5 linked regions of the Nothobranchius furzeri genome follow. The protein of the gene in region 5 interacts with the protein of the main gene of each other region in a biochemical or structural test. Links are inferred from orthologs where the notes say so. Each region holds a gene or a part of one and is shown on either strand. Other genes may lie near its edges. The genes, in order: fkbp8, ppp2cab, badb, probable nuclear hormone receptor HR38 and bcl2b.

Region 1 (6,321 bases), on a different chromosome or scaffold from region 5:
TGTGTTATTTTGTAATTATGTTGTTTATTTGTTTACATTTTTTCCCTTTAGTCTTTAAAATACCAATATTTGCCCATAACTTCTTATTTTATGTCTGTTTGATGTCATCATTTTAAAAATATTAGATCAGATGATACGCAGTACTCAAGTAGCCTTCTAATCAGATACTTTTTTACCCTTACTTGAGTAATCCGTATATCAGGAAATTATTGTCCTCGGTTTGTGTCCTTCCAGTGAGCTTTGCAGATGTGGGAAAATGTCATCAGGCAGTAATCGTTGTTAAATTCATAATTATTCTCGGAGAGAGACCAACTCTTATCTGCCCCTGGGAGCCCCGTAATGCATAGCGTCGTTTCAACATGGGGGTGTCCGCGACACGGTTTATATGCAGGTAGCGGCGCTGCGGCTGCTTTATATAGCGACTCGTTGCGTTCTCCCTCAACCCCAAATCCTCGGATCACGCATTTTAGCTAAAATGCTAACGTTAGCTTGCCTTGCGTTGAGGGTGATGGTCACGCAGATGTGTCATGACATTTGAAGCGTTGCTGCCTTTCACAGACAATTTTTCTGCACGTACTGCAAACAGGATAGCCGTCCATCTTCTATAAACTCCTTCGGCATTCAAATATCCAAAAATGCCCGTACTTCCGACTTTGTCTTCTTTGGGGGATAATAAATGTCCTCCTGAGCGCTGCCGTCTCCTCCTTAGGCCATTATTTCAGCTTTAGCTTCAAGAAAGTTTTGGTCGTAAACAACAAAGTGCGCATGTGCCGCCGGTCCTGCAACTTCAGCAGATGATACGGTGGCTGGTAAGGGTCACCGCGCCTACACCGCAGCCACGGTAACCCACCGAGATAATATAGTTTTTTTTAAAACAAGACGGTTATTATTATTGTCAACTTTTTCTACCGGGGTTTACACTGGTTACCGTGACAACCCTACCTGAGCGGTCTGCTTTGATCTATTTTGAAAAGTCCGATCAAAACCGATAGGGGCGCTATCGGCCGATTGGGATCAAATGCCGTTTCATCGGTACATCCCTATCGGAAAGTAGGATCAGAATTTCGCGTCAGCAACATGAAAGCATGGATCCATCCTGCCATGTATCAACGGTTCAGGTGGAGGTGGTGTAATGGTGTGGAGGACATTTTCTTGGCACACTTTGGGCCTCTTAGTACTAACTGATCATCGTTGCAATGCCACAGCCCACATGAGTACTGTTGCTGACCATGTCCATCCCTTTATGACCACAGTATACCCATCTTCCAGCAGGATAATGCACCATGTCATAAAGCTCCAATCATCTCAGACTGATTGTTTGAACATGACAATGATTTCACTGTACTTAAATGGCCTCCAGTCACCAATCTTAATCCAATAGAGCACCTTTGGGATGTGGAACAGGAGATTCGCATCATGGATGTGCAGCCGACAAATCTGCAGCAACTGTGTGATGCTGTCAGGTCAATATGGACCAAAACCTCTGAGGAATGTTTCCAGTACCTTGTTGAATCTATACCACGAAGGATTAAGGCAGTTCTGAAGGCAAAAGGGACCTGGTACTAGCAAGGTGTACACAATAAAGTGGCCAGTGAGTGTAGTTTACCAGACGTTTTATAAAAGGCCAAATGTACCTTGTTGCTTGGTTCCAGCTTCAGAGCCTTCCGTAAAGTTTGAATGGCTTCTGTGTATTCAGCCTGCAGAGCCAGAACCTAAAGCAGAAACACACAGCAGGCAACAGGTTAGAGGAGTCTGAGAAACACAACATGAAAGAATCAGAGCAAAGAGCACCTTGCCCATTCGAAAAAGTGCTTTAATATTCTCTGGTTGATGTTCAAGTGCTGAAACACAAGACTTCAGTGCTGCGTCATAGTGGTCCAGCTTCAGCTGAGAAGCAGCCATGTTGTTTAGACACTTTACTTTGACATCCAACAGCTCGTTCTCCTCCTCGGGGCTGATGTCAACTGCTCAAGGAAACATGATAAACAGTTAAGAGTCCTTATGTATCAAAATAAGAAAAATCAACTGTTAGTATCTTGTTAATATCTTTTCTTTTAGAAGGAAATATAAAGCTTTGCCTGACTCCTGCACATGCTTCTTACCTTTGGAACAAGAATCAGTAATCTGCAGGGCAACGCCATATGAGTTGACTGCAAAAGCATAATCCCCACGTTGGTAGTGAACATTCCCCCTCTCCCTCTTCTGAACAGCCAGGGCTATTTTCTCCGAGGGAGGAAGCAGCTCCAAGTCAGGTGCATCTGTAGCCTCCAACAGCTCCACCTCTAAGGAAAGCTCAGCATTTGGCGGAATGTCAGGATCAAGACTAGGAAGTGAAGGACGCAGGAGACAGAGTCAGGGACACCAGCCGTAGGAGACAGTTCACAGATATTACTGTCATGTTTCCTTCTTTTTCAGCAACCAAATGCAGGCACATTTACTGAGCACAGTGTTAGGAGGAGACACACTGGTAAATATAGCTTTAAAGGCATAGCTTCAGAGCAAATATGAACCGATATTGTTATTATCCACAGGCTTGATCTTCCTCACCACACCATTGTTTTAAGTGTTGGCTTAATAAAACTTCTAATCTTTGAAGAAACCACAAACATCCCAGACTCATTAAGCATTAATTCAACAATCAGCTGTCGGGGACAACTGTGAGCATCTCTCTCCTGCAATGTCCAATTCTTTAATATTTCCTCAAAACATCTCTGGTTTGAAAACTGTGACGTGAAAGTCATGTCTACATTTTGAACTAATAACACTAGATATAATGGCCCTAACGTGGCAGACTGTTCAGGAGCATTTCAAAATGTTTCCTACCTTCCTCGGACACCGTATGCGTATTTTGCATCTGTCTGGATGAGTGCTTTCTCTCCAATTTCCATAAGCTGCACTGTCAGATCCAGTGCCTAAATAGATTAAAGTGTTTTTTGCTTTAATGACTTACATGCAAATTTAACACACACACACACACATATATATATATATATATATATATATATATATATATATATATATATATATATATATATATTATTAAAAACCTATTCAACCAATCATCTGAGTTTTTCTTTTTCTTTACCTGGATGACATCACCATCTCCCAGAGTGAAAGCGAGATCACATAGCTCCTGTGCAAGTGTACCATCCATCAAGTGTGTTTTAAGATGGATCTTTACGACCTGTCCTTTGTGAGGCCGACTGTCACGTCCCTTCCCTGCTTCAAGGACCTTTTTCTTCAGCTGGTCGTTACCTAACAGCAGATAGATCTGTTTATAAAATTGGTTACATATAACGGAACCATTAAATGTTCATAACTATACAGTAATGGAATTCTAGCTTCTGCTGTGAATGCCACTAAATATTTGGAAAACATACAAACAACATACAAATGCAAACTATTAGCATGTTGTCTGTAAGAATGTGTCTGGTTTTGTCACATTTCCCTCATACCTAAAACATCTAGCCATTCATCAATGTTGCCAGAAGGTTCTGGATCTTCAACCCTTTTCTTTTCTGCATCTTCTGTTTTTTTACTGTTTCCACCCCCGGCATCTTCCAGAGGAGGAAGGTCGTCATAAATGTCTTCATCACACAACACCTCAAAGTCCTCCCCGCTGTCCAGCAACGAGGTTTGTCCATGCTTCTTAGCAGCAGGAGGTCCAGCTGAAGACTCCATTCTCAAACGTGTTCAGTCCTCAGCACATCACCTGATTAAGGAAAACAGAAAACAGCTTGAAGTGATTCACTTTCTGTGAAAAGTAAAACTGTGTATGTGCTGAATCCTAGTGAGGAAAAAAAGCCTTCAACTATGTGCAAGTCGACGTTAAACACTGTGATAGGTCACATGATGATAGCTACACAACTGTTTACCCAACACCTCCTTTAACGTCTATTTATTATTTTTAATTTTAGCAAACAATGTGGCAACATTTCGCAAATTTAATTATTACGCTACCTGTTAACTGTTGTGCCCTGACAAATCTAGCAAGAAGTTTTAACAAGTTTTCCTCCAGCTAAATGCCCAAGCGGCTAGCATGCTACTGCTAATGCAAGTAGCATTAGCCGGTTAAGCAATACAGGTACTAAACGATAATAACGAGTTTTTACTCTATTATACGATAAACCATTGGGTTTATCACGTCAATGCAGTGAGAGTGGGTCAAAGTGTATATGCGTTAATCGAAATAAAGTACAACAAACCTCCAAGTGGGCTTGTTTCGGTCCTGAGCTGTCCCTTCGTTAAACTCAAAGTGAAGTCAGTTCAACGTTGTACTGATGTGTCGGTAGTGAACGAACTGGCTCTAAGAGCCGGCTCTTTGAAGTGAACGACGGGAGCCGGCTCGTCATTGGGAGCCGTCCCCTCCCCTTTTGCTTTGGTGAACGCCACAGGCAATTGGTCAACATGTGTAACTGCGTGTCCAGACTGTCCACACACAGAGCAGTAGGGGCGGGGAAGAGGGAGGATCAGACTCAGACACACAGCAGAGCACATGCGGGTGGAGGGAGACGAGAGGGAATGAGGAGGAGGAAAAAGGCGAGAGAGAGAGAGAGAGAGAGAGAGAGAGAGAGAGAGAGAGAGAGAGAGAGAGAGAGAGAGAGAGAGAGAGAGAGAGAGAGAGAGAGAGAGAGAGAGAGAGAGTGCGGCAAAGACGGTGAGAAAATGAGCGCCAGCAGTCAGAAAGTGGAGATTTCTTAAAGTGTTCAGTTATTAAATCCATTCAAATGATAAATAGTTTATATATTGCAATTTTTTACATTAGTAAATCATGTTACATATATTTTAGCATTTTTTTTGGTTATAAATATACTCTACGCAACAGAAAATGTGAGGAGCCACTTGGGAGCCGAAAGAGCCGGCTCTTTTTGGTGAGCTGAGCCAAAAAGACCGGCTCTCTAAAAAGAGCCGGAATTCCCATCACGTCGTTGTGAGGCGGAGGACCCAAAAAATAAAAAAAAAGTACGCGTGTTGATATGTTCAGCAGCAAGCGAACTTCAGCCCTGTGCTTCCTGTTAACCTTGAGCTCCCCCTTGGTGCAAGTTAATATTTTACCTCACTAACATGGAAACGACAGCAGTTTGGAGTTTCTAGTAATTTTCCTTAATTAAAAAGGTAAAAGTAGATAATAATAATAATAATAATAATAATAATAATAATAATAATAATAATAATAATAATAATAATAATAATAATAATAATTAGAAGAAGAAGAAAAAGAAGAAGAAGAATAGATGACTGAATTTTTGTTATTTGTAAAGGGACATTGCATACTAATGAACATTTACATATTTCATGTAGGTAAATATGCATTATTTTAGCCCGGGTTAATTTCCAGCAGTAAATGTTAAATAAATGTAACATTATTTTGTCCAATTTGATTATGTTAATAAAATATTCTCAAAGCATATGGACACGTTTTTAATCATGCTCTGCAACATGAAATTTCAAAACCCGCGTCAACGCCAAAATCCCAATTGCCTTTCTCTATAGTTGAAAACATTTGACAGCGTGAACTGAATCTTTGGCTTCTATTAGTTTCACCTTTAGGCTGCCACATGTTTCAGTAAACTTAAAAGAAAGATTGTAGCCACTTCTAAAATATTTTAAAATAATTTATGCATGGATTTATTAGGTTGACATAACATTATTTATGGTATTTGTGCTTCTGGGTCAGTTTCTTCTGAAACCCTCCAAAATTGCATTAAAGGATTACACAGGTTTTTAAAAGACATTCAGTGCCTTTTTTACTGAAGCAGGACAACCATGTTTTTCTATAGTAGTAGTAGGTTGATTTATGAGCATGTGCTTTTTTCCACCTGTCTACAAAATCACGCTTCATTTCTGTAGAATAATTGTTGGACAGTAATAATTAGAAAAACAATCAGCTACACATCATATAGTGAAACCATTTTTTTTTGCAAATATAAGCAATATTAATGCTTACCTTTTAGGTATGTTTATAAAATTCAGGAAATTTCATGGTTTCACTTAAATATTTACTAGTTGGGTGCAGTCCTGATTCTGTAATTATTTAGTGTTAAAGCAACATCTCTGACCTTTTGTTTATCGTGTGGAAAATTACAATTTGAAATATTCACATATATTTATTATTATTTTCCAAAAACCCATTACTTTAGATATTTTCAAACAGCAAACTTAATGACACATAGACCTGTCATAAATAGCAGATTTAAAAAGGTACAAATATATCCAATTTGCTTACATTTGCATTTTTTTAAATCATGTCTACACTTGTGATTATTTGGTTTTCATCAAATGTTTTCTTCCAGAATAGTACCTTGTCATCAGTTCCGGCAT
Region 2 (6,405 bases), on a different chromosome or scaffold from region 5:
AAAACTGTTTTAAATGTCTGACAAAGTCACCTTAAGAGCTACAAGTAATGTGACGGTTTCTACAGAGTAGTACCCTCGGTCCACATAGTCCCCCATGAACAGGTAGTTTGTGTCCGGCGATTTCCCACCGATCTTGAACAGCTCCATGAGGTCGTGGAACTGGCCGTGCACGTCGCCACACACGGTCACTGGACATCTCACCTCCTGGACGTTGGACTCTTTGGTCAGGATCTCCTTTGCCTGCAGAAGGAAAGTTGATTAGAGAATTAAAACTTGCACAAGCCAGGCAAAGGCCACCATTTTCTTTTTGTCTTCATTCAGGCACAGCCCACTTCCTGCTAGCGCTTACAACGGCCTCCATCACGTCTCATCAGGATGCTGCACACGGAGCGGGGCTGATAGCATTTTGATGCAGCGACTAGCTTCCTGTGGGGCGACCCTGTGGTGCCCGGACGGGCAGCTCTGGCTGCACGGCAACGTTTCTAAAAATCCATAAATGTGATCCTCCGAAGATTAAAAGGCAAGTGCAGAATAAATTTTAGTGGATTTGCATAAAAGTTTTGGTTCACTTTGATGTTAATTCACATCGGATCAGACAAATTAGATTAACGTGTTAAATTCAGAAAAATAAATGTGATTCTGGATTATTAAAGCATTTTATTTTTACCCATAAATCATCAGAGGGGCCTGACTGGCTGCTGCAGAGCATGACTCAGCATGTGGCCTACAGCCAGAGCCAGAGGAAGTCACCATTAAAATAAGACAGGATTTACCACCAGTTGGCTTGATTGGTAACCTCCAGCTGTGACTGCTTTTATGTTTCCGATTGTTTTACCTTCATGGTAAATCACCCGGAATTTGGCCGTTTGCTGAGTATTTTTGTGAGCTGTGTGACCGTGGATCCCTTCACAAACCAGAGAACGAGTGTGTTCCTTGGCTGGTGGCCAGCTGATGGGATAGAAACCCAGACGGGCCAGGATGGCGCTGCAGCGTTGCACAACGTTGACCTACATTGCATCCAAACTCCACGTGTCCCGACCGGCGTGCGGCAGGAGGCTTCGGGGGCCACACTGAGCCACAAATCTCTAAAGCAAACAGAGGCACTAAGCCAGAGAAGAATATTCTAGGTGTCTGGATGAAAGTGGAACACAAACACACAGGACCCATCTTTGAATGGATGAGGCGACAGGAGATAAAGTGGATCTGTCTGGGTTCCTCATCCTAGTCAAACCGTAGACATATCTACGTCTACGAGTTCACGTCGGTGTCATGGCTCATGATGCCGTCAGCACGAAATGGAACATTAGAAAGGGATCTTTGACGCTGCCGTAGTCATGAAGACGAGCTTTAATTAAGTCCAACGTATCAGGTTCTGAGCCAAACTCGTCCATCAACACCTGCTGGAAACCCTCGGGTCGTTTCAGCTTACGGAGAAATCAGGTGATGTTCAAAAAGAGCAGAAACGATACATGTACTCAAAAAATAAGGACTTTGGGGATGTTTTCGAAGCTCGTTTCTGTGTAAATTTTATAATCGCTGCTAAACTAAGAAATCCCTGTCGAACTGGACCCCTGGGTGCAGCTGAAGCTGCTGGTGGTCGCAATGGCACAACTCCATCGATCACTCCCCTCGAGCTTATTTGGGTTACATTTTAAACCAAAAGCCTGATGACTCAGCAGCTTTAAAAAACACAAAGGCAATCGCCTAAAAACTAAATGAAACCAGTCATCCTTCTCAAAATTAGATTGTTAGGATGACATAACGCAATAACAATCAACACAAAAATAATAATAATAATAAATAAAACACCGCACAGGATTAAGCTCTAATCAGAGATTACATAAAGCTGGATGAAGATGTGACCTTCTTCTTCAATCTCTTCATCATCTACGAGAGATGATGATGATGATGATGATGATGTCAATCCAGGTGTAGAAAAAATACCAACAGCCATTACGTAAACACCTCGTCTAAAGTTCCAACCACACCTGCCAGAGCGGCGAGGACGAGGCACGCCCTGCCAAATTCCAGCTCTGCCCAAAACGACGTCAGTCAACAAACCGCGCAAGCACAGAGAAACCAAGTCAGCGTTTTCTGAGTAAGAGCAATCCCATTAAAACGAGCAAAGTGTTTCCACACAACAACTTGGAGCGATAACACCCGATGATGAGGAGAAACTGCAACCAGAAATGATGATGTCACACATGATGACTGTGGTTAAAGGTTAAACTGCTTTAGCCGCCCTACAGACGGCTTTTCTTACTGCTTCTGTCTTGAAACGGGTCCCGCAGAGGTACTCTAGGTAGGGCGACCATCGACACATTACATCACTGTCTGACCTTATGTGATGCCACATGATTGTTGCACTCAAATAGGGACAGAAATCTGAATTTTGCATTTTGTTACGTGAGGCAAAAATAAAGAGCTTATTTATGACAACTAATTTTATTTTAACCGAGAAAAAAGATCGCCAAGAGGGGAACAACACATTTTCTCTATGTAATTAACCAATTGATTCACTAATCTTTTAATTTTCCAGATATATTCAGGCCACCAAGAGCTGACTGAACTATAAAACTTCATTATTTAGCCACCTACTGGAAGAAACTGCAGCAGTTTTTGCTGAGAAAGCTGGAAAGGAAGAAAATGACTGAGAAGTGATTACATAGCACATCACTTTCCTTCACACACACATCCCATAACAGAGATGGCTGGCTCTCTGAGTCACAACACACTGCTGTCCTCAGTCTCACAGTCTGATCTCCGTAGCAACAAAGCTTTGATGGTGCTGCTGGTGATGCAACTCACAATCAATCACATCCTCTGCTATTTTTAAAGTGAGGAGGATGTTGTGTGGGTGTTTTGCTGGAAATTTTAGCAAAAGTGCACAGGAGAAAAGATGGAGGGGTGGATGAAGTGGGGGGGGGGGTTCAACTGACCTCATGGTTGTCATTAAACCAAACATATCCTCCATTTCTGTTGTTTTAAGGACTAAATGAAACCGATCACTTTAAGATAAAAAATAAATGAAACCAAAACACCTCATCTCTTTTGGCGGACGGAGACAAAACAAAGCAGTAATTTGAGTCACAGCTGAGGCCAGACCCATGGAGACTGAGGTCTTGGCCCACGGTGCAACGGGGACATTTTTAAAACTACAGGAAGCAAACATTACAGCTGATCTAGAAAAAAAATGTTGATATTTATGATCTGCTCGAGACTAGATGCAGGTAAAAAGATAAATAAAGCCCATCCAAACGTAGCCTTCTGTCGGTATATTCTGGAACCCTGCATGTTTTATCACATGAACAAAAAACAGATCAACATAATAACACAAAAGCATTATTAGAGAATCTGATTAAAGATCATTGCTGATATTTTCCCACTAGCCCATCAGGTCATCATTTAGATCTGGAAATCTGCAAAGGTTTTTTAGGATGGATGGCTTTAAACTGCAGGAATCAGTGTTGGACTTTTGGACTTGGATTTAGCCAATGCAGAAATCTTACATCTAATTTTTCCTTTACTTATCACAAAGAAACTGGCTTAAATAAATAAACACCAGTGAAGTGGCTGAAAGGTCAAACGTCAGTCTTGGAGCTTCTGTGAGCACAAAAACAACCACATAAAGATGCTTGAATTGATTTGTCAGACTAAAATAATAGATCCCAGAGGCCCGTGAGATCAATTTAAACCTATTTTTAGGCTCTAGTTTCTGCCCAAAAATAGTGTACCGTTTAATTTTAATGAGACAAGACTGTCTCAATGAAAGTATAAATAAAAAAACATGTAAACAGATCATGCCAACAGGATAACTTCACATCCTCTGGAAAAAAAAATAAAATTAATTATCGAGTTCATGTTTGTGCGGCACTGATAAAAATATTGTTTTTAAACATATTTTATCCATTAAGGCTGAGTTACTCCCAGGGTTCAGTAACTGACGCGGATGCTGTCTATAGGATGAGGAGGGATGTAAATATGCTGTGTGACTGGAATTAAGCTAGCAACGATCCAAACAGGCGGCTGTAATTAATGTAGCCTAGCCTAAAGTTATGAAAAAACGCACCTCACTATGAAATCTACACTATCGACGCCATTTTAAAAATGTCTGAACGACGATAGCTGTTGCAGACAATGTTAGTTTTTTTTATAACAATTTATTTCCATCTCACCTTTTCACATAGCGCCTTCACTTGTCCTTCGGATAGCTGTTTGCATTCGTTCAGCTGCTCAATCCACTGGTCCAGATCTTTCGTGAACGCCTTTTCGTCCATTGCTGTTTTTTTTTGTGTTTCCTTACCGAAGCGGCGTGTAGTTTGGTTAAAAACCCGCCTCTGCTACCCGTTTTTTGAGACCCTACTCTTTTGAGTTTACAAGCCGGGCAGAGCAGAGGCTAAAGGACCCTCAGCGAGCAGATGCATCCACTTCCAGATCGCTACGATTTGACTGAAGGGAACAACTGAAGAAGAGGGAGAAGCGCCAGCCGGCGATTCACTTGTATCAAGTCGTTTGTTGTTATACAAAGCAGTTCCGGTTAAGACTTTCTAAATAAAAGCACCACGTCGTTACTGTGAATTCAAATTTAAAATAAGCTACATAACAACCAAATGAGTTTTTAAAAAGACTGTTCTGTTTTTCAAATTGCTTCAAAATGTATCTTAAAAGCAGAGAAGATGGCAGGATATGTGTCAGTAAAGCATTTTTAGATAATTGTCAGAAAATTTAAAGTCTTTTCAATTCAAACTGAAATTTGTACACAGTCTTGCATAATAACTCTTAGTTTATCATTGTAAACATCTACTTTAGTTGTAAACAATATGTTAATCCTTAAAGTGGTTAGAAATTTGTGATTTATAAAACATGAAAAAGAGCAAAATAGAAGAATGATTTTTAAAATTAGCTTTAAAATCTCATGTTAACATTACAGTCACAACGCCTTTTCATCACCCGATGCAACAGATCTTTCCAGTGTAAACATGACAATGACATAGCTTGTATTTATTTATTTATGTCTTTTAGCAGGACAGAACAGTGAATCAGAGTTGTGGTTGTCTAATAATATTGTTTTTTATTTTAATTTTAAATTTCTTTATATATAAAGAAAAATATATGTGTATATATTTTTTTCAATTACATTTTTATAGAGCTTGTGAAGTGCCTTGTGATTTTTAGCTATAAAGGCTCTATATAAAACAACCTTTCTTCTTCTTAATTATGCAAAAGTTGCTATATACCAATTATGAATCTGTAATATACCTTTTTTAAAGATTAGCTGAGAAAAAAGATAACCCATTGTTTCTTACTTAGAGTAATTTGGGGACATACAATAGCTTTTATTTCATTTTAATGTTCCCTTTTGTATTAAACCTTTATTCTCCAAATAAAATCTTACATTTCCGGTCTAGGTTTACGTCCAACTTCACGTACAGCAGGGCGAGCCGATGATAGCAGCTCAGTGATTGGTTCACAAAGCAGCTTCCTCTGCAATTTCATTGGCTCCTCATTCATCAAAGAACAAGTTACAACTCGTTTTAGGGAATACGTCACCGCTGCTCACTCGAATTACGATATGAATTCAGTATGTTGTGTATGATGTCCTTTTATTTGGGCTGCGTAAACAATATAAAAATTAAGCTTTACACTGTGTCCACGTGCTTCAGGTAGTGACAAACACACAAAACAGTCCAACAGAAAAACGGCCACATCTGTAAACCGAGTTACATGGATTTGTGTTTACATTCTAAATGTACTTTGTTGTATCTGCTAAATGACATTTAACAAAACTACTCAGATGATGGCACCATTGTGTTTCTGGAATACTCTCGAAATATCTGTTGCATCAGGCGATGCAGTCCACATTAGATGAAAGGGGCGTGGTCATGGTGCTGTAAACATAAGATTAAAACATTCTTCTGATTTACATGCAGTTTCTTTGCACTTGCTTTTGTTTTACAAATTACAGGCATAACTTATACATTTCTAACTATACTTTAAGCATTATGGTCAGATAAAAAAACAAATAAAATGCATTTATTTTTGCCATATCAATCATTATATTTGTGTGATAAATTGTTTTAGAGCATTTTTTTATGTTTTTAAAATTATGCGGTTTTAACATTTTATTTGTTCATTTTCAGTGATTTTTTTTACGTGACACTGACTTAAAAAATCAAATCAAACAATATTTCCTAGAAAAAAAAACATTGAATTTTCTTGACTTCTTACATCCTTCTCTGATATGTCCATGTTTATTTATGTGGTCAGCATGTGGCCAGCTAAGAGGAAAGGACAAAATACAAAATCAACAAATTCTCTTTTTAATATTCACAATAACGTCAATCACCCCCCTTCGAATTTCTAATATTTGGCTGAGGCTGCAAAGACGGAAATTCAAGTACAAAA
Region 3 (6,554 bases), on a different chromosome or scaffold from region 5:
CTTTTTACATGGATGATCTGAAGACCTATGCCAAAAATGATAACCAACAAGAGGGACTACTGCAAATAGTCAAGCTCTTCAGTGATGACATCTGCATGCAATTTGGACTTGACAAATGTGCAAAGGTTACATTCAAAAAAGGAAAACTCACATCAACATCAAACATACAATTGGACCAAGAGACTGTCATAATGGAGCTCAATCAAGAGGATACATACAAATATCTTGGGGTTAATGAAGGAGATGGAATACAACATGCTACCATGAAAGAAAAAGTAAAAAAAGAGTACTACAGAAGAGTTAGGCTTGTTATCAAGAGTGAACTCAATGCTGCAAATAAGATCAAAGCCATCAACATTTTAGCTGTTCCAACGGTTACATACAGTTTTAATATCATCAACTGGCAACTTAAAGAAGTAAAGAAACTAGACACCAAGACCAGAAAATTGCTGACTTCTGAAAGAATGCACCACCCAAAAGCGGATGTTGAAAGAATGTATCTACCAAGACAGATTGGAGGCAGAGGACTTACACAACTTGAGATGGCTTACAAAACAACAACAATGGCATTGAAAACCTACCTTGAAACAACAGACGATGCCCTACTGATCCTCGTTTGTCAACATGAAGCTCGAAAGAAGCTCTACTCTGTTACAAAAGAAGCTATAAGATATGCACAGGAACTAAACATCCCAGAGGTGGCAAGAATAGAGAAAGAAACAGTGACAAGCTTTGCCAAGAGGACCAGAAGGGAGGCAAAGAAATGGGCACAAAAAAGGATGAGAGAAACATGGGAGGAAAAACCAATGCATGGACAATACCCCTTGAGAGTAAAAAAAGCAGATGTAGAACAAGATCATACTCATCAGTGGCTACGCAGTGCAGGACTGAAGGCAGAAACTGAAGGATTGTTGATAGCAGCACAAGACCAGAGCCTGTCAACGAGATCATACCACCACAAGATCATTAAAGACGGAACAGACCCCATGTGTAGAATGTGCAGCCAATATGAAGAAACCATTGACCACATTGTCTCAGGCTGCCCCACTCTAGCCAGAACTGAGTACATCCACAGACATGACAGGGCAGCAAGCTATATCCACTGGAAGATTTGCAAACATTTCCATCTACCAGCTGCAGATAAGTGGTATGAACACCAACCACCAACAGTGACTGAAAACAACAACATCGCAGTGTTGTGGGACATGCCAATCAACACAGACAGAGAAATCATGGCCAACAGACCAGACATAGTCATCAAAAACAAAGAAGAGAAGACCTGCCTCATGATTGATATGACCATCCCATCTGAAAAAAATGTCACCACCAAGGAGCTTGAAAAGCTATCAAAGTACAAGGATCTGGAAATAGAAGTCACAAGAATGTGGGGGATGAAGACAGCAACAATACCCGTCGTAGTGGGTGCACTTGGCCTCATCAAGAAGGGACTGGAAAAGAGAACAAAACAGATTCCTGGAAACCCAACAGTCCAAGAAATCCAGAAGATTGTTCTTCTCGGAAGTGCCCACATCATCAGAAGGACGCTTTCCATAAACTAACCCTGAAACTGCCTTAGAAGCATGGATTGATTCTGGCACTTCAGTGAAAGCATACAAATATACAAAAAATATATAATAACAATAATAAGAATTTAATAATAATAATAATAACAATAAAATAATATTAATAATAATATTTATAATAATAATAATAAAATTTTTTTTTAAATAATAATAATAATAATAATAAAACCAATAATAATAATAATAGTAGTAGTAGTAGTAGTAACGTCATTATAGAAGAGACTATCTGTGCAATGTAGCCTAATAAAAGAAAGGCAAGTATGTAAAGCTAAATTAGTATTTTACTATTGAAAGTCGATGTTTGTCCAATAAAAATTAAGTAGGAAATGCAAATGAAAGTAATGTTTTTAAAAGGAGTTTTATTCTACCTGCACCAGTAATGGGAGGAGTACTTGATTTTTTTTTTACTTGAGTAAAAGTGCAGATGAACAGGTGAAGAAAATAACCTATGGAAAAGTGGAAGTATCCAAGAAGATAATGATTTAAGTAAAAGTATTAAAGTATGCACTTTCAAAAGTACTCAAAAGTAGAAAAGCAAAAGTCTTCATCTAACAGTTAAAGCTGCTTTCCGGAGTTTTCCTCTTTCAGAAACGATGTATGATTTGTCAGAAATCCGTAAAAGTGATTATCTTATCATGTACTGTGATCAAATATAAGCAATACATCTTTTTTTTCTTTGCTAAGCACGCCCCCTGCCTCTGTGCAATAGGAAACCGAGCACCGACCAGAACTAACCAATAGCGTTAGACTACCGCTTAGACGCTTCACATTTAAGGAATACCTCGGCTGACGCAGAGTTGATGAACTTTTCATCGACAAGCAAGTCTCTAAAATATAAATATATGAAAACACACGACATGAGAATAATACTCGTAAAACAACGTGTTTTAGCTCCGTTTGTCGGCTACAGAAGCACATTTATGAACAGAAACGTGAAGTCGCCATCTTAAATAAAACAAAGGAATGGCGTTTTTGTGTGATACGCTCGTCAGCCACTAGATGGTGCCATCGGATAAGAGAAACACTCCGGAAAGAAGCTTTAAATAAGCAACAGCACTAGCTCAGGAGGTAGAGCAGGTTCTAATTGGAAGGTTGCAGGTTCGATCCCGGCTCCGACCAGAGAATGCTGCTGTTGTGTCCTTGGGCAAGACACTTAACGCACCGTGCCTGCTGGTGGTGGTCAGTGGTTGTCAGCCTCACCTCTGTCAGAGAGCCCCAGGGCAGCTGTGGCTACACTGTAGCTCATCCCCACCAGCGTATGGATGTGTGAATGACTGATTGTGTTGTGAAGAGCCTTGGGGGGTTGTAGAACCCTAAAGGCGCTACACAAATACAGGCCATTTACCATTTACCGTGTGTGGTGTGTGTGTAGAAGTGTTCTGTGGAACCAAGGGGGAGGGGCTAATAAAATTACCTTTGCAACTCCAGTACGGCGTGGTAGTAGAGTACAGGTGGGGGTCGGACAAAGCAAAGTAAAAAGTAGGCCTCAATAAAATTAGTTACATGAAGTACAGATACAGAAAAAATGTACTTAAGTACAGTAATGAACTACTTATAGTTACTTAAGTAAAAGTGGGAGTATCCAAGTACAATGCAAAGTAATTGTACTTCATTACATTCCATGACTGTTCTGTAAAACTGGTTCCTAGTTAGGAATGTAGTCGAAGTGATGAGTCATCCTGAACGCTTTAGTGATGAGGATGTCGGACCTGTAAGCAGGAGGCGGGAAGTGAAGAAGCTAACCAGAGCGATCATGTAAGCGCCTGGGTACCAGCAACGGTCTCAGAACCCACAGAAGGAAGCAGAAGCCGGAGACGACCCGAGGAAACCTCAGGGAGAAGAAGCAGAAAACACGAGAACAAAATAACCCAAAGACACACGAACTCTGAACACCGAAACAAACCTTTGATGCATTCTGATCATCTGATGGAGTTTCGGTCAAATCTCCAAAATGACTTGATGCTCGATGTCAGAGCTTGGAGTGTGTGATGTGAATGACTCTCACACACAGAAAAATGACTCAATATCTGTGGAATCCTCTGAGTTAGAAGCATTTTCATCTTGTTCTGTTGACTGTGGCGGCCATCTTGAACAGGGCAGGACTGGATGATGGTCTAAAGCTGCTAATCTCACTGCATCGCTGCACATAATTTACTATAAATCTGTCATGGCCCTGCTAACGCTGCTGTTTCCTCTCCACCTCTCACGAGAAACGTAGGTTATCCATCCTCTTCTACACTTTAGGTGGGACAGTGATGAGAAGAGGAACAACTTCACAAACACAATTTGGTTTTTCCATCAAGAGGAAGTTCACATTTTCAGTGCTTCCTCTGTGGTTAACTTATGTCATCACTAAGGTCACCATTCCCACCCATCACCCCGCTCTCTTCCCCCCTTTCTCACGGTTTCACTTCCACCTCTCATCTCTCCATCCTTTCTCTGTTCCTTGTATCTGGGCCACTGTCTGAACTAGTTCACCACCCGTTTGCTGGCCAATGGCGTCGTTATTTCTGCTCAATTAATGATATTTTTGTCTGTTTTTGGGTGCGTTCAAATTCTAAATTCATAACCAAGAATAAGGAGGCGTTAAATCTGACTGTAGAGCTTCACAGTGAGTTCCTGTTTCAGCGATTTCACACAAAAACAACAGGAAAGTTTGAAAGTACCGAAGCGTATTTCTATTAAACTATAATGAAAACTCTGCGATGGACTGGCTCTCTGTCCAGGGTGTACCCCGCCTGATTGCCCATTGACCGCTGGAGATAGGCACCAGCCCCCCGCGACCCTACGTGGACAAAGTGGGTTCAGAAAATGGATGGATGGATATAATGAAAACTTTGGTCAGCAAAACTGAGGAGATGATGTAACATCAGCAGAACAATCCACACCTACATAAAACTAATAACAGCAAGGCTGTGATGGATGGCTGTCGCCACGGGAACAAGGTGCAGGAACTCATTTCACTACGATGTATTAGTGCACGTCTTCAAGTGTTCAGCATCTTATCAGCTCAAATCATCGGCAAACATGCAGGCATTTTAAACCCAAAGGTCATGTGCTAACACTGTGTGTGTGTGTGTGTGTGTGTGTGTGTGTGTGTGTGTGTGTGTGTGTGTGTGTGTGTGTGTGTGTGTAAGTGTAGAAGGTCAGAGCTCCTTTCCAGAGTGGGAAAGAAAACACTGGAGATGCTGGTGATGAATTGCTCTTTAGGACCATTTTCCGTGCAGCTGTTTTCTCCAGGCTTTATCCAACTGACACACCGGATTCAAGCATGTGCATGGTGCGTGCACACACCGTGCACGGTGTGTGCACGCTGCAGTTTGTATTTCTGAGCAGAACAAGAGTTGGAGATCATAAATAAGACAAGCTTTTACCCAACAGCCGAGTCTGAGAGTTTGTCTGAAATACACATTTGTTATTAATGTTCTCTGAGCTGCATCTACCGATGGAGACACCAGAGGATCCAACCGTTTTTCCGTGCGCCTGTACAGACGTCACACATCCTGCGTTTCATTTTTTATGATTTTCACTCAGAGCTGAGAGGAAACACACCACCTTTCTGATACCCAGCTGGTGTTGCGCTGTGATCTCGTTCTGCGTTCTGATTGGTTGGCAGGCGGTTCTGAGCGCTGATGCGAGAGACCAAATGATGGTCGTCCGCATTCAGGCAGGTCAAACACTTGGTAGGACATGTTTTACTCTTGTACTAATAATAACTGAAGAGCAGATGGAGATGCTGGAATGAAAAGTTAAACATTCTATCATGTCCCCAAATACATAACATACAAAAGCCTTTTTGTTATTGGTGTGAAAGGGTTAGGGGAGGAGTTTGAATCCTTTGAAGTTGGTTTCTGATGGCTCTTAGAACAACCTCAGTTTGGAAAAACAGAGATTATTTTTTTCTTAAAGCTGGGACGAGTGGGGTCAGTTTTAGTAGATTTCTTGTACCTTAAAGTGACAATGTGTAGTTTTTGTCATCAATCTCTGGAAATATCGATCAAAATATTGTTGAAGGGGAATTAAATGATGCCCAGTTGTTGAAAAATATTGGTGGCTTGGTAACATATAACCATAAAAATCTGGTCTAAATTATATGGGAGCGGGTCCAAGTCACTGGGCGATGCCATGTTTTCTTCTATGGGAGCCCTTGAGGACAAAACACATTTACTGATTTTTAACAAATGGTAACAAAAATGTCATCATTAAAATAGCTTTCCCGAGTTTTCCCCTTTCAGAAATTATGTATAATCTTTCAGAAATCCGTCAAAGTGATTGTCTCATTATGTACTGTGCTATAATATAAGCAATACGTCCTTTATATATATATATATATATATATATATATATATATATATATATATATATATTTTTTTTTTTTTGCTACGCATGCCCCCTGCCCCGCAGAGCTCCGTGCAATGGGAAACTGAGCGCCGACCAGAACTAACCAATAGCGTTAGACTACCGCTTACATGCTTCAAATGTAAGGAAAACCTCGGCGGATGCAGAGTTGATGAACTTTTCACGGACAAGTAAGTCTCTAAAATATAAACATATGAGAACACAACATGACACGAGAATAATACTTGTAAAACAACATGTTTTAGCTCTGTCGGCTACAGGAGGACATTTATGACTAGAAACGTGAAATCGCCTTCTTAAAAAAACGATCCGAGATTATTTGTGTGATATGCTTGTCAGCCACTAGATGGCGCCATCGGATAAGCAAAATACTCTGAAAAACAGGCTTTAATAAACATTTTTACCTCTTCACTCATTGCCCTGGATGAAAGGGAGTCTGAAGTGCTAGTTATTTTGCTAAAGTTTGTACTCCCCGGGCCCTTTTGACCCTAATGGGCATCCATTGGTAAGATCTTACTTCAACACAAAAATACAGCTTGCTTGCAACGATTTAGTTATCTACTGCCCCCTATTGCCAGGAAAAATACACGCTGTCACTTTAAATAACTTTGT
Region 4 (6,250 bases), on a different chromosome or scaffold from region 5:
TGCAGGTAAATACTCTTTTTTAACTATTCTTGCGAACCTGTAGGCCAGGCGAAGGATGAAGAGCTCCACAAAAGCAGACTCAAGGAGCAGCTCCTGGTCCTCCATGCAGAAATCTGTGAATCCTGGGATAGCTTGAGCCCAGCTCCATATTATGTCCAAGGCACCGGTCAGCAGCTCGTAGAACTGCTGGATATCACCGGCATCCTCTTTTTCTTTCAAATGATTAATTTTCTCCTGGAACTGTGAAGAAAAACCAAGAAGAGTTAACGACGCTTCACAGCTTTGGCCCTTCATCGCTGGACCGGTCGAACCAACATCGAGTACAGCAGACTGCGAGCTCACCTTGGAGAAGTCGAGCTTCTCGTTGCTTGGCTCGGAGTCTAAGTGAGCCTTGACAAGAGAAGCTATGACGTTCACACTGGGAGTGGTGGAGGAAGCCTCGGTCACAGTTTTGGGTTTGGAGGGCAGGCGACCTCTGCGACCTTTCAGGCTGTCTGTACGAACAACTAGGATACCAACATAATTGTGTGAACATTAATTAAACTACCTCTGTACCAGTTTCAGTCCACTTTTTGCCCAACTAGACAGTAAAAATCAGGTTTGCTGCTAAATATTGGTTTCCCATCACTGTCCTGACATCCTGAGTCTGTTGTCATCAAACACAAACTCTTGAATGCTTTAAGATTTGCTCACCTTCTTTGACCATTCCCACAGCAAGACATTTCTGGAAACGACAGAACTGGCATCGGTTTCTCCTCCTCTTGTCCACTGGGCAGTCTTTATTGGTAAGGCACACGTACTTTGCATTTTTCTGGACAGTTCGCTGGAAAACAGAGAAAAAGAGTTGAATGCACAACGATGCATAATAACCCTGAGACAATAAACACAAATCTGACCTTTAAGCTCTTTTTTTAAAAGCAAAAGCTTTTGCTATGTTTTAACCTACATCTGTGAATACTTCCTCATCAAATAGTAACTAAACATTCAATTTCAAACAATACCTGATTCTTTTTTTAGGTTTGGATCAATAAAGATATTGAAGAAGTGAAAATATCTACATATATATAATATTAGTACAGACTTTTAAAGATGCATGATGATATAATTATGATTTAGTGCTAATTTCAGTTGGATTTAATAGAAATGTTCTACTTTTCCCTTTAAAATGTAAATCTACATTTTTTTTTTTACCTTGAAGAATCCTTTGCATCCCTCACAAGTGCGGACTCCATAGTGCTGACAGGATGCGTTATCACCACAAACTGCACAGCGACCCTCGCTGGATCCTAAGCCTGTGCTTTTAGGAGACATCATGGCCCCTTCTAATATTCTGGGGCTTTCCTGTGGTCCCTGTTCCATAGACATGGAGGGGCAATGAACTGGGGGTAAATGCTGCTGAGATGACAGGAAGAACGGATCATCTTGTCCACTGGGGGCATCCTGGTGCTGTCCCAAAGGAGAATATTGATCCTGTGCAGGGTTGACTGTAAAAAATGAGAGTTGCTGCTGAGCCATGCTGTTCTTATCCACAGAGGTCTGGAGGGCCGGGGGAAAGGGGCTGAAAGGGGAATCCCAGACAGGTGCAGACTCTGTTTGAAAGCCTGACGTTGGAGGAGAAGCAGTTCCATAGATGGGGCTTCCATAGTAGTCAGAGCCACATGACGAGAGTGTTTCTTCTAGACAGCTGAGAGCGAAAGATCCTGGGTAGCAGCCGTACACCTGGAGGTCGTCCAGCTTGAAGGCTTGGTTCTGCATCTGTGTGCTGGAGCTCTCAGCTGCTGCAGCGTGGCTGAAAGACACAGCAGAGGTGGGAGGGGAGGTGGTGATCTTGCAGGTGTAAGCATCAAACTCCCTGGTGTAACCATTTCCAACAAGGGTGTTGATGCTGGGCAGGGACGATGTGGAAAACTGGTCCTTCTGGCCAGTGATTTCCATCACCAGTGTGGCACTGAGGTCTGGATTCAAGAGCTCAGAGCTGAAGTAGTTGTCGTGGGGCAGAGATGCAAGCTGGGTTTGTACACAGGGCATTGCTGAAAAAGAGAGTTGAAGAAATTAACCATGCAGGTCAAATATTACTGCAGTAATAAACAAGGACAGATGCATTATAAAAGGAAAGTTAATCCATGCTTCTTTAAAAAAAATGTAATTTCAATTTGATGCAACCTGACAAATTTCTACATGACATTTAAGGTTATGACTTTCTTGTCACAATAAATAAAACGGTTTCTTCCTCTGTAACCATGCAAACAGTGGCCAATGTTAGCACCCTGAATGTGCTCGGTCTCATTTCACCCCGCATGCCATTTCTCTCGCTTCAGGCCCCGTCGGTCCTGGTTGGAAAATGCAGAGGGTGGTCCAGTGGAGCGCTCAGATATTGTCAGATATTGTGTTACTGGCTGTTAATGCTTTGAAAACCTCCTTCAGTGGAGGACAACCCTCTTCCACAGCGGCTGTGCCACAGTGTGCTTCAGATTGTGTTTCAGGGTTGGATGAATGCCAGCTGCAATGGCAAGGGTGATGAAGCACGTGTGTGTGTGTGTGTGTGTGTGTGTGTGTGTGTGTGGAGGGGTGTGTATCCACTTGTGTGCTCACTTCAACATTTCACAAGTGAAGCACAACCGATAAAAATCTGTCGCTTTCAGAATAAAACTTTAACTCTGTTATCAAAATAAAGTTTTCTTAATGTGATAAATATTTTTTTGCTTTTACATTTAGTAAATGACATGCTCCACGTGTCTTATCCAGCCCAAACCTATTTTCTCTACTATAGAAGTCACATTAAAACACCATAACTAAAGCTAACAGCAGCAGTATGGTGTTTGTTTTTACCTTTTTAAGGGTAAGTGACTGTTAACGCAACAAATTCTGAAAGATAAGCTAAGATAAGTACTTATTTTTATACCACATCAATCCAAACTACACTAAGAAGAGAATCTGAATAACATATGAAGATTGTGCCTTTACAAATACTTCTGTATTTGGCAACTGGCATAATTTTGGCAAATGCACACATACAGTTGAGATGGACATGAATAAAGAACCAGCCTTAACCCCAAGACAGTCTTATTGTTGCTTAAATACAATTATTTGCTTCACTGACTGGTGAGTAGCCTTTTTATTACATTTCAATGAATAAACTTTCAGCTAAACCTATAGCTTTAGCCTTGGAAATGACACCACTATTTACACATCCCTTCTATATTAAACAGTTTCAACAATAACTTAGAATACCTTGGTGTTTCAGGTTTGTGTTGCGTTTGATTGCCGGAATAAACATCTGTAACACTACACCTCTCCTGTCTCAGACAACTGACTGTAACTCACCTGTTGCATGAGAAAATCCGAATCTTGAAGTTTTTAATTAATTCCAAAGCAGAGAAACGGATGAATTCAGCTCCTCCAGCTGCTTTCGGCACACACACCCACTCAAACACATCCACACACACTCACTGGGTCAGACCAACGCAGACGGCTTCACACACTCTTGTTTTATTATGACCTCGTCAACAAAAAGGGCGGGCCTATGCCCAAACATGGTGAAACGTTCCGGATTAGCAGCCAATCAGGTGAACGCGTGACGCTTAGACGTTATTCCGTCTGACGCACGCTCGGGATTCCATTGACGCAGGAGCCGAGAATGTACGTTATTCTAAAAATAACCACAGGCGTTCACGTGGGGCTATTATTGAATGATAAAGGCTAAAAATAGCTCAATTTTTCAGTTACAGACGTTTTTGTGAATGGAAATGTAAATCTTAATGCACGTTTTAGACAGTTTGGCGTGTTATCAGAGGACTGAGCAGGAAAATCAACGTTTTGGGGTAGTTTTCTAAGTTTGATGTCTTTTATCGCATTTTAGAGAGAAAGACAGATATAACCAAAGCAATATGAACACACACACACACACACACACACACACACACACACGTGTGTGTTTTGTGCCATTATCTTTTCTAAAAATAGTCTTCCTCATCTTTTATAATGACCCCAAATGATAGGAAACATCTTGATTACATTAATGTAAGACATTTTAAGCAGGATGGCGTATTGTAAAAATGAATATCAGTCAGTACTGGAGAAATATTTATCATGGCGCACATCCAACAAGGTCCTTAGCTGCACATTTGCTGGAATATAGGAACACGTTTTACAATGGTTATATGTCTAAATATTTTCCAAATCACAAAAAAAAATTCAATTAATAAATGCTTTCTCTTTAGTACAGTAGATTATAGGTGTGTGTGTGTGTGTGTGTGTGTGTGTGTGTGTGTGTGTGTGTGTGTTGCAGCTAAGACATGCATTGCAATGCTAATGCAATGCAACAAATAAAGACGTTGTTTCATTTAAATTTTTATTCCCATCTCTTTCTATAAGAGCATCTTTGCTCATAGAAGTATGGTATTACTGTTGCTGCTAGAGTGAAGTTACTGCTGAGTGAAAGCCATCACATTTACTTCACTATTGATTGAGTCTGGTAGTGGGTTATGACTTCCACAATTGTTAGCCCATGTGATCCGGTCTACTTACACGCAGCTCTACCAGAATAAGAAAAGGTTAAGGGGCTTTAAAATGACCGAGAAGTCATGTCATGAAATGTAGCCTACTAGAAACTAAGATCTCTTCTCTGTCTCTCAGAATATGACGACTACACCCATCTGGAGATGGGAGATGCCATCGGTGCTGAAATGTCATCATTAGAGAATCCCCAGTATGGATGTCACCACTTCAGCTGCTGACATTCATTTGTCAGCATCAGTTTAAGCTTCACCTAATACCCATTATGTCATAACATTTCCAAAACAACCAGACAAACTAACATGTCCTGAAGCCTCTCAGGAGACCCTTTTGTACGCGGGCCAAAAGGGTAAAGAAAGGAAGCGGTGTTTCTTTTAGCTGAGAGCTGCGATCTGCCCAGGCAGCCTGAAGTTACAAGAGACTATTACAGAGGTTTGAGCCTAACGCTCTTTAAAGCATGCGTATGTGTATCAAACAGGACATCCAATCTCCTTTTCACTTTCCGTCACACTAGAACACTCATTGCATATGTGAGGAAGTGCAGATTCACATTCACAACATTGCAGCGTTTAATTAGCTCTATCACATGGTTAAGAAAGGATCATGTTGTAACAAGTGTAGCCAGACATACTTTGATTACAGTCTCCTGAAAGTGAATTGGTTTAGTGTAAAATGTGCACCTGCATGATGAACATTTGACACTGTTAGGACCACCAGCCTGGCCTCTTCAGATCCAGGAGCCAGGATCACCCAGCCCTGGTGATCAGCCCAGACTCCGCCCCTCTTCCTCCTCTCCTCCCGGCTGCTGATGAGCACAGCTGACCTGAGTCCCACTAATGAACAACATCTGGGAGAAAAGGCTGTGCCATCCAGCATTCTAGGGGTTTTGCTGTTCTCCAGGCCTTATGCTTTGTTTTAAACCCCTTTTGTGTGTTTCAGAAGATCAATGTGATCGTTTTGGTTTATGTATTGTTTTTAAGGTTAACATCGTAGTTTACCGACTTTGGGATTTTAAAACGCGCAGTGTTTTCGTAGTACGTCGGTTTTTGTTATCAACTTTGAGATTTAAAGAAAAACTCCTTCTAGTCCGGTAAAACTTTTGACAAAGTTTTAACCAGGGGTTTTAATGTTGATAATTTGTCCTTTAAATGTTAACCTTTTAGTCTTGGTTTTGTTTGGCATTATTTTAATAATACTTTCCATCTGTGTGCTCGCCTGTTTTAAAACCTTTTATGGCAGTTAAACCCATTTTTAATCCATTGTCATGTTTCTTATGTTACCCCCTTCCTTCGCATTTTAACAGCACATGTCGGGGTTGTAACAGACACAATGCTTTGCTTTTTAAAGCATTGTGATAACAATCATTGCTGTGCTGCTGATGTGGAGATTCATCTTTCTGTGAAACGTGGTGAGATCATTTTTATTCATGAGCCTTCTGATGTACAGTTCGTCAACTTAACTACGATGCACATAATTTGGTTGCTAACATTTATTGTGATATCTGAAACTGCTGAACACATTACCACCTGCTCTCTCCCAGGTGGCTGTGCCACCGTTTGGAGTCTTAAACCGCCTTAAGCTTTTCATTAAGTAAACATTGCAATGTAGATCTATTACTGAATAAGTCTTCAATTAAAGATGGCCGCTGCAGCCAACACATGTCTATACAGGTACATCTACAAAAAAAAAAGATAAGGACCAGGATTGGAAAGCTCTAAATGGTCTCAGTCTGGGT
Region 5 (5,387 bases):
CATTTATCTGTGATGCAAAAAAAGCAAAAATATTGTGTGTGTGTGTGTGTGTGTGTGTGTGTGTGTGTGTGTGTGTGTGTGTGTGTGTGTGTGTGTGTGTGTGTGTGTGTGTGTGTGTGTGTGTGTGTGTGTGTGTGTAGAGGGGGTACTTTTCACTTCTCTGTTAACCCTCTCAACAAACAACTAAGTCCTTCAGGGGTACTTCTGAGTAAAAAAAAATGCTCATGAAATACATTTGTGGAGTAACCAGGTAGGTACGGTAGGTTTTAACGTAGCAAATCTGCAATGCCTGCCTCCAGAGGGTTAATAAAAAAAAAATTTCAGACTGCAAGCATTTCCGATTTTTTCTTTTTTTCCCATCAGACCGTAACACAAGACAAACATCAATAAAACAAGCTGAGAAGCACAGATCAATCCCTGGCTGCTCCTGCAGACGGCGGAGATGGGGACATCTCAGGTTCCAGTTGGCTTTTTAGTCCTGAACTGAAATGCTGCCGCCGCCACAACCCCACTCAGTCACATGTGGCCGCGCCGGGATTTCTTCGTGCACATCAACGCAGTCTCTGAAGGATGTGTGTGGACAGCTCTCAAACTACCTGCTGCAGAGAGAAAACAGCTCTAAGAGCTTTCAGAGTTTTTTTGAGGGGGTGGGGTTGTGTGGATCATCAGAGCTGTGTTTGAATGTTATAGCATGCATGTGGCCTTCTCCACATCACACTGCTTGAGAAATGCATGCTTTAAAACGAAAAAAAGATGAGTTTAAGAGAACTCTTCTGCAAACCTCTCTACCCGGATCAACATGCATGACAAATTCCAAACTTTGCTACAGAAAGCGGAGACTTCCTGTTTTCCTTTACAGGTCAGGAGAGTGTGACAGTGCAAAGAGTTCACCCGAGCTGTCTGAGGAGCCCATAACAGTAGAGACACACTCTGCACTGCTTGTAGTGAGCCGTTTCCATTATACATTCTGAGCAGCTGTTCTGCAGAGGAAGTCCTTTGAAGGATGGCTGTAGGGAGGTAACTGGAGTCCACAGTTCAAATGGGGTGTATGTGTGTGTGTGTGTGTGTGTGGGGGGGGAATCCTTCACCCCAACAAGCAGAGGAGGATCTGCTGTGGTCTACTTTCTGGCATCACTGATCCTGCACCCCGACCATCAAGCTCTCCAAATAAAAATAAAAAAGAACCACACATGCAAAAGTCTAAACTAATCATGCTTTAACTAGTTTTACAAGCAAGCAGGATGAAATGAACCCAAAATAGACATGCACTCCTCGTTTCTCCTTAACTTAGTGTGATTCCACCTCAGACATCCTTTGCTCTTCGGGCTGAGCCCCCTGGTTCCCTCTGCTGCCTTTGATTTGTGTCTGTTTTGACATGAATGTGCAGCAGGAAAAGGAATTTTCTCAGAGAGGCTTTGAAGAGAGCCAGATTCAGTCTGAAGGTTGTCTCTGAGGGGTCAGGGGGGGCATCTTTACAAAAAGAATAAAAATACAGGAGGCGAGAGGAAAAGGGAGCACGCTGTTACGAAACGGGGTTGATAGCTGATAGAGTGAAGGGAGCCCGATCACTTTTGTGCAAGGTACGCTCCGATGGTGATGCTGGCCGCCCCGAGTGCAGCCAGGCCAAAGACGGTCTTGATGGACGGCCAGTAGCAGCTGAAGACGGAGTCCTTCTGTCGGTCATACAGGTCCACAAACGCACCCTGAAAGAGGAATGGCGAGAGACGCAGGAGTTAGTGCACAGAAAACTACTCTTGATGCATTTCTTCTTTTAAAAGGCCCTAAAGAAGCCCGAGTCAGTCTGCTTTGAGGGCGCTGGACTGTGACTCATTATCTGTGTTCACACACCAACACTGGCGTTCAGCAGAATTTGCAGACAGTTTAGTCCAGATCTTTTCTGTTCATGCAGCAGGGTTTATTCTGCTTGAGATGTGGGGGAGCGGGCGCTGGAGGAAACAATGTTTCCTCTACAAGAGATGGACATTTACACTATGGGGCAAGGTAAGCTTTATATTTGATACTCATTCATGACTCCTCTGTTCCCCGTCACGAGAATAGATGATGAAAATGTTCGACAGCTGTTTTTCTGTATTCAGATTCGACGCACAGCAAATATTAAGAGTTCCTGAAGGAGAACAGGATTTTACAGATGCATCGGTTGATGCTCTGACCCTTGTGGTCCCTAAATGTTTTTACATTTTCAGTTTTGCTGTTTTGGTGACTTCTTTTGCATTAAATTAAACAAATTCTCACTATTTAGGGAGGTAAAACCTGCATGGCTGCATAGAATGGGGAGACTGTGGTTTGTCTTTTGTATTTTTTCCAGTTTGAGTGGAACTTTCCTTTAAAATAAAAATCCCTGAGGCGTTGCAAAGCATGGGTGGAAATAGAGTGTGCATAGGCAGATCCATTACTATCTGTCAGTTCTCACACCCTTCTAGCTCACATTTTACATTCAAATGCAAACTCCAAACCAAACAAAACACAGGAAAAACATTAATGTTTGCAATTATCATAATTTTCTTCCATGTTTTCTGCACACAGATGAGGAATGATGATCACACATGAATGCAGCGGCTGCAGATGAGTGAGTTTGTGAGTAACTGAACATAAGGAGCATCTGTGCCAAATGCCAAAGCTGCATGTCTGAGACCAGGAAGTGCAGACGCATGCTCACAAGCTGTGACAGCAGGAACAGCTGGACAGGAAGTAACAGTGCTGAGTCCCTCACACACTCACCAGCAGCTTATCTTTATTCAGACTACGATGAGGGAACATTCAGAGGTTTACTGAAGGAAATACCAGCAGGTCCCTTTGAATTTTTTTCCTTTTTTGGGCGACGAAGACCACATTAATAGCTGAGCTGCTCTGATGTCTCTGTTCTCAGCTGTAATTTGATCTGAGTCTGAACAACAGTGAATCCTTGATTCATGAGGATGGTTCTCGTGGGAATCTGTTATCATCCTATTTTCTGATCCTATTATCTGATGGGATAAAAAAAATGGAATACAAATTTTACTTCGACTGAATTATGTTTATGTTTATTATTTAGCAGTTCAAAAGGCATGTTTCTAATTCACAGTTTCTGCTTTGTGAAAGAAAAAGCCACACAGAAAAAAAAAGTGAGACCGAAGGGCTGCGGAGAGACAAAAGCATTTCCTGTTTCCCATCCCGTTCCACAGCATTCCTGAGGCTGGGGTCTGGTGACACAAGGGAGGAAGGATCAGCAGATTCCCCTATGTTTAAACCCTCTGGTGCCAACACACACACACACACACACACACACACACACACACACACACACACACACACACGCACGCACGCACGCACGCACGCACGCACGCACGCACGCACGCACGCACGCACGCACACACACACAGGTTTCTTCTTGAGTATGTTTAATTACCAGAGGCCGTGCCAGCAGTTTTAAGAACTGGCATCAAACAAAACTGAGCTGTCAGCACAATCGACAATGGAATTGTGTTCTTTCAGTCTGTTTTCTTTTCTAAGGCCGGCCCAAGCTGAATAAAAAATGATTAATATGAATCAGAGTTATTCAAGTCCATCTCCTGAGTAACGTGCTGCTGTTTGCTGCTTACTGTAAAAAAATAAAAGATGTAAACAAATTTGTAAATGACCTCCATTAAGTTAAAAACTAGATGCAAAATGAAAGGTTTGATTTTTTCTGTATAATTTTCCTCCTTTTTGCAGAAGGATGGAAAGTGCGGCAAAGGGCCTGCAAAATGCAGAAGAGCATGAAATGCTAACTAAGTTCCCAGCTGGGAAATCGGAATTCTACTTAAAAATTTTCAATAATTTTTTCCTCCATAATGATAAGAGATGTAGTTCCTGGCTCATTGATGAGAGTCTGTCTGTGTTGTTCATCCAAAAATTTAAGAAGCGCCACCATTTTACAGAGACGTCCAGGACATCCACAGTAGTTAAAATCTCGACAGGAGCATCTTCTGATGAGAAGGGTTGAAGAAAATCGCCATGCAAGTTCACTGCAGTTAGCTAAAGCTGTAGAAAGCCCAACTGGAGTGACACCATATGGCACACACTGCAGAAGCCCGTGCTGAAAGAGATGAAGACTACTGGAACTCTATACTCTGGAGTGATGAGACAAAGATCACTGTGTTTGGAACTGATGGTATCAAAACTGTATGGTGTCGTGAAGGTGAGGATTTCATGGTGCCTACAGTGAAGCATGGTGGTGGCAGTGTCCTTATGCGGGCTGCATGAGTGCTGCTGGTGTTGGAGAGCTGCATTTCATTGATGGTATCATGAACTCAACAACGTACTGCTCTACACTGAAGGAGAAGATGCTGCCATCACTCGGTGCACTTGGTCGTCGTGCACTTTTCCAACATGACAACGATCCAAAACACACATCTAAAGCTGCTGTTGCATTTCTGCACAAGAACAAGGTGAAGGGGATTGAATGACTAACTATGTTTCCTGATCTGAACCCATTCCAACACCTGTGAGGAATTCTGAAGCAGCAAGTTGAGCATCAGTCTCCATCCAGCATCCAGGCTCTAAAAAAGTTATTCTATACAGACAGATGTTGCAGTATGTCGCCAACTTGTTCATTCCGTGCCTAGAAGACTTGGTGATGTCCTTGACAATCACGGTGGTCAAACAAAATACTAGATGTAGTAGTTTTTGTTGCGGGTGTATTAATTTTTACTTCAACCAATTTCAGTAAAACTGAAGATTTTGTGATCTAAGTTATATTATTAACTTTAATTTCATGTTATGGAGTTAAACAAGTGTTCAATAAAACCCAGCCTTGTGAAAAATCTGGAAATTGTTCTTTTGTTCATTGATCTACTGATTAAATTTGTACTTTTTAAAGGGGGTGTACTCATTTATGCTGAGCATTGTAGTTGTAGGAGCATGAAAAACTCAGCGAGACCGATTATAATCAGAAATAATCATTAAAAATGGTTTTTCAGTGAACCACAGCTTTAAAATGGCAAATGAGATGCTAAAATTGAGAAGAAGAGCCATTAGTTTATTAGAATAATAAGAAAATGTCAAACTCCATCTAAAACGTACACATGGGAAACATAATAGGATATTTCAAATGGAATAAAAAAAATGTGATTATCTGGAGCCTTGCAGCAAAAATGAAAAGTAAAATGTCAGAAACCTTCATTCTGAACCACTTTTAGCATAAATGTTTCCGCCTGTTTTTAGGTATCAATAAGACAAGCTTTTAAGCCAGACCTCCAGCTGAGACAAGCACTTTTCCCACTTACTTCTGCAAAATAACCAAGGCCACAACTCAAATCAGAAGCAAATGGATGCAACTGACCACCAGCAAGGCTCAACGCAACTGCAAACTCATGGTGCACGTGTCCTTGACGCGACCCAGACAGTCG

The links.
Region 1: the proteins of bcl2b (region 5) and fkbp8 form a complex in vitro, tested with the Homo sapiens proteins (4 studies listed by BioGRID, with this or other methods). The link is inferred for Nothobranchius furzeri from reciprocal best matches to the Homo sapiens genes BCL2 and FKBP8.
Region 2: of the proteins of bcl2b (region 5) and ppp2cab, one has a biochemical effect on the other in vitro, tested with the Homo sapiens proteins (2 studies listed by BioGRID, with this or other methods). The link is inferred for Nothobranchius furzeri from reciprocal best matches to the Homo sapiens genes BCL2 and PPP2CA.
Region 3: the proteins of bcl2b (region 5) and badb form a complex in vitro, tested with the Homo sapiens proteins (5 studies listed by BioGRID and IntAct, with this or other methods). The link is inferred for Nothobranchius furzeri from reciprocal best matches to the Homo sapiens genes BCL2 and BAD.
Region 4: the proteins of bcl2b (region 5) and probable nuclear hormone receptor HR38 form a complex in vitro, tested with the Homo sapiens proteins (2 studies listed by BioGRID). The link is inferred for Nothobranchius furzeri from reciprocal best matches to the Homo sapiens genes BCL2 and NR4A1.

What each region holds. Positions count from the first base shown.
Region 1 is NC_091748.1:52,425,764-52,432,084, forward strand, and holds the start of fkbp8 (peptidyl-prolyl cis-trans isomerase FKBP8), read right to left. Parts: upstream 4,338-6,321; 5' UTR 4,206-4,337; intron 3,713-4,205; 5' UTR 3,682-3,712; coding exon 3,456-3,681; intron 3,256-3,455; coding exon 3,086-3,255; intron 2,913-3,085; coding exon 2,824-2,912; intron 2,324-2,823; coding exon 2,103-2,323; intron 1,965-2,102; coding exon 1,792-1,964; intron 1,713-1,791; coding exon 1,635-1,712; intron 1-1,634. UniProt on the Homo sapiens protein: Constitutively inactive PPiase, which becomes active when bound to calmodulin and calcium. Seems to act as a chaperone for BCL2, targets it to the mitochondria and modulates its phosphorylation state.
Region 2 is NC_091750.1:60,015,241-60,021,645, forward strand, and holds the start of ppp2cab (serine/threonine-protein phosphatase 2A catalytic subunit alpha isoform), read right to left. Parts: upstream 4,433-6,405; 5' UTR 4,278-4,432; coding exon 4,176-4,277; intron 241-4,175; coding exon 31-240; intron 1-30. UniProt on the Homo sapiens protein: Catalytic subunit of protein phosphatase 2A (PP2A), a serine/threonine phosphatase involved in the regulation of a wide variety of enzymes, signal transduction pathways, and cellular events.
Region 3 is NC_091754.1:60,853,055-60,859,608, reverse strand, and holds the start of badb (BCL2 associated agonist of cell death b), read right to left. Parts: upstream 3,511-6,554; 5' UTR 3,487-3,510; intron 1-3,486. UniProt on the Homo sapiens protein: Promotes cell death. Successfully competes for the binding to Bcl-X(L), Bcl-2 and Bcl-W, thereby affecting the level of heterodimerization of these proteins with BAX. Can reverse the death repressor activity of Bcl-X(L), but not that of Bcl-2.
Region 4 is NC_091743.1:50,511,728-50,517,977, reverse strand, and holds the start of probable nuclear hormone receptor HR38, read right to left. Parts: upstream 3,462-6,250; 5' UTR 3,325-3,461; intron 2,031-3,324; 5' UTR 2,029-2,030; coding exon 1,192-2,028; intron 824-1,191; coding exon 694-823; intron 507-693; coding exon 343-506; intron 241-342; coding exon 38-240; intron 1-37. UniProt on the Homo sapiens protein: Orphan nuclear receptor. Binds the NGFI-B response element (NBRE) 5'-AAAGGTCA-3'. Binds 9-cis-retinoic acid outside of its ligand-binding (NR LBD) domain.
Region 5 is NC_091751.1:52,828,597-52,833,983, reverse strand, and holds the end of bcl2b (apoptosis regulator Bcl-2), read right to left. Parts: intron 1,704-5,387; coding exon 1,566-1,703; 3' UTR 1,466-1,565; downstream 1-1,465. UniProt on the Homo sapiens protein: Suppresses apoptosis in a variety of cell systems including factor-dependent lymphohematopoietic and neural cells. Regulates cell death by controlling the mitochondrial membrane permeability. Appears to function in a feedback loop system with caspases.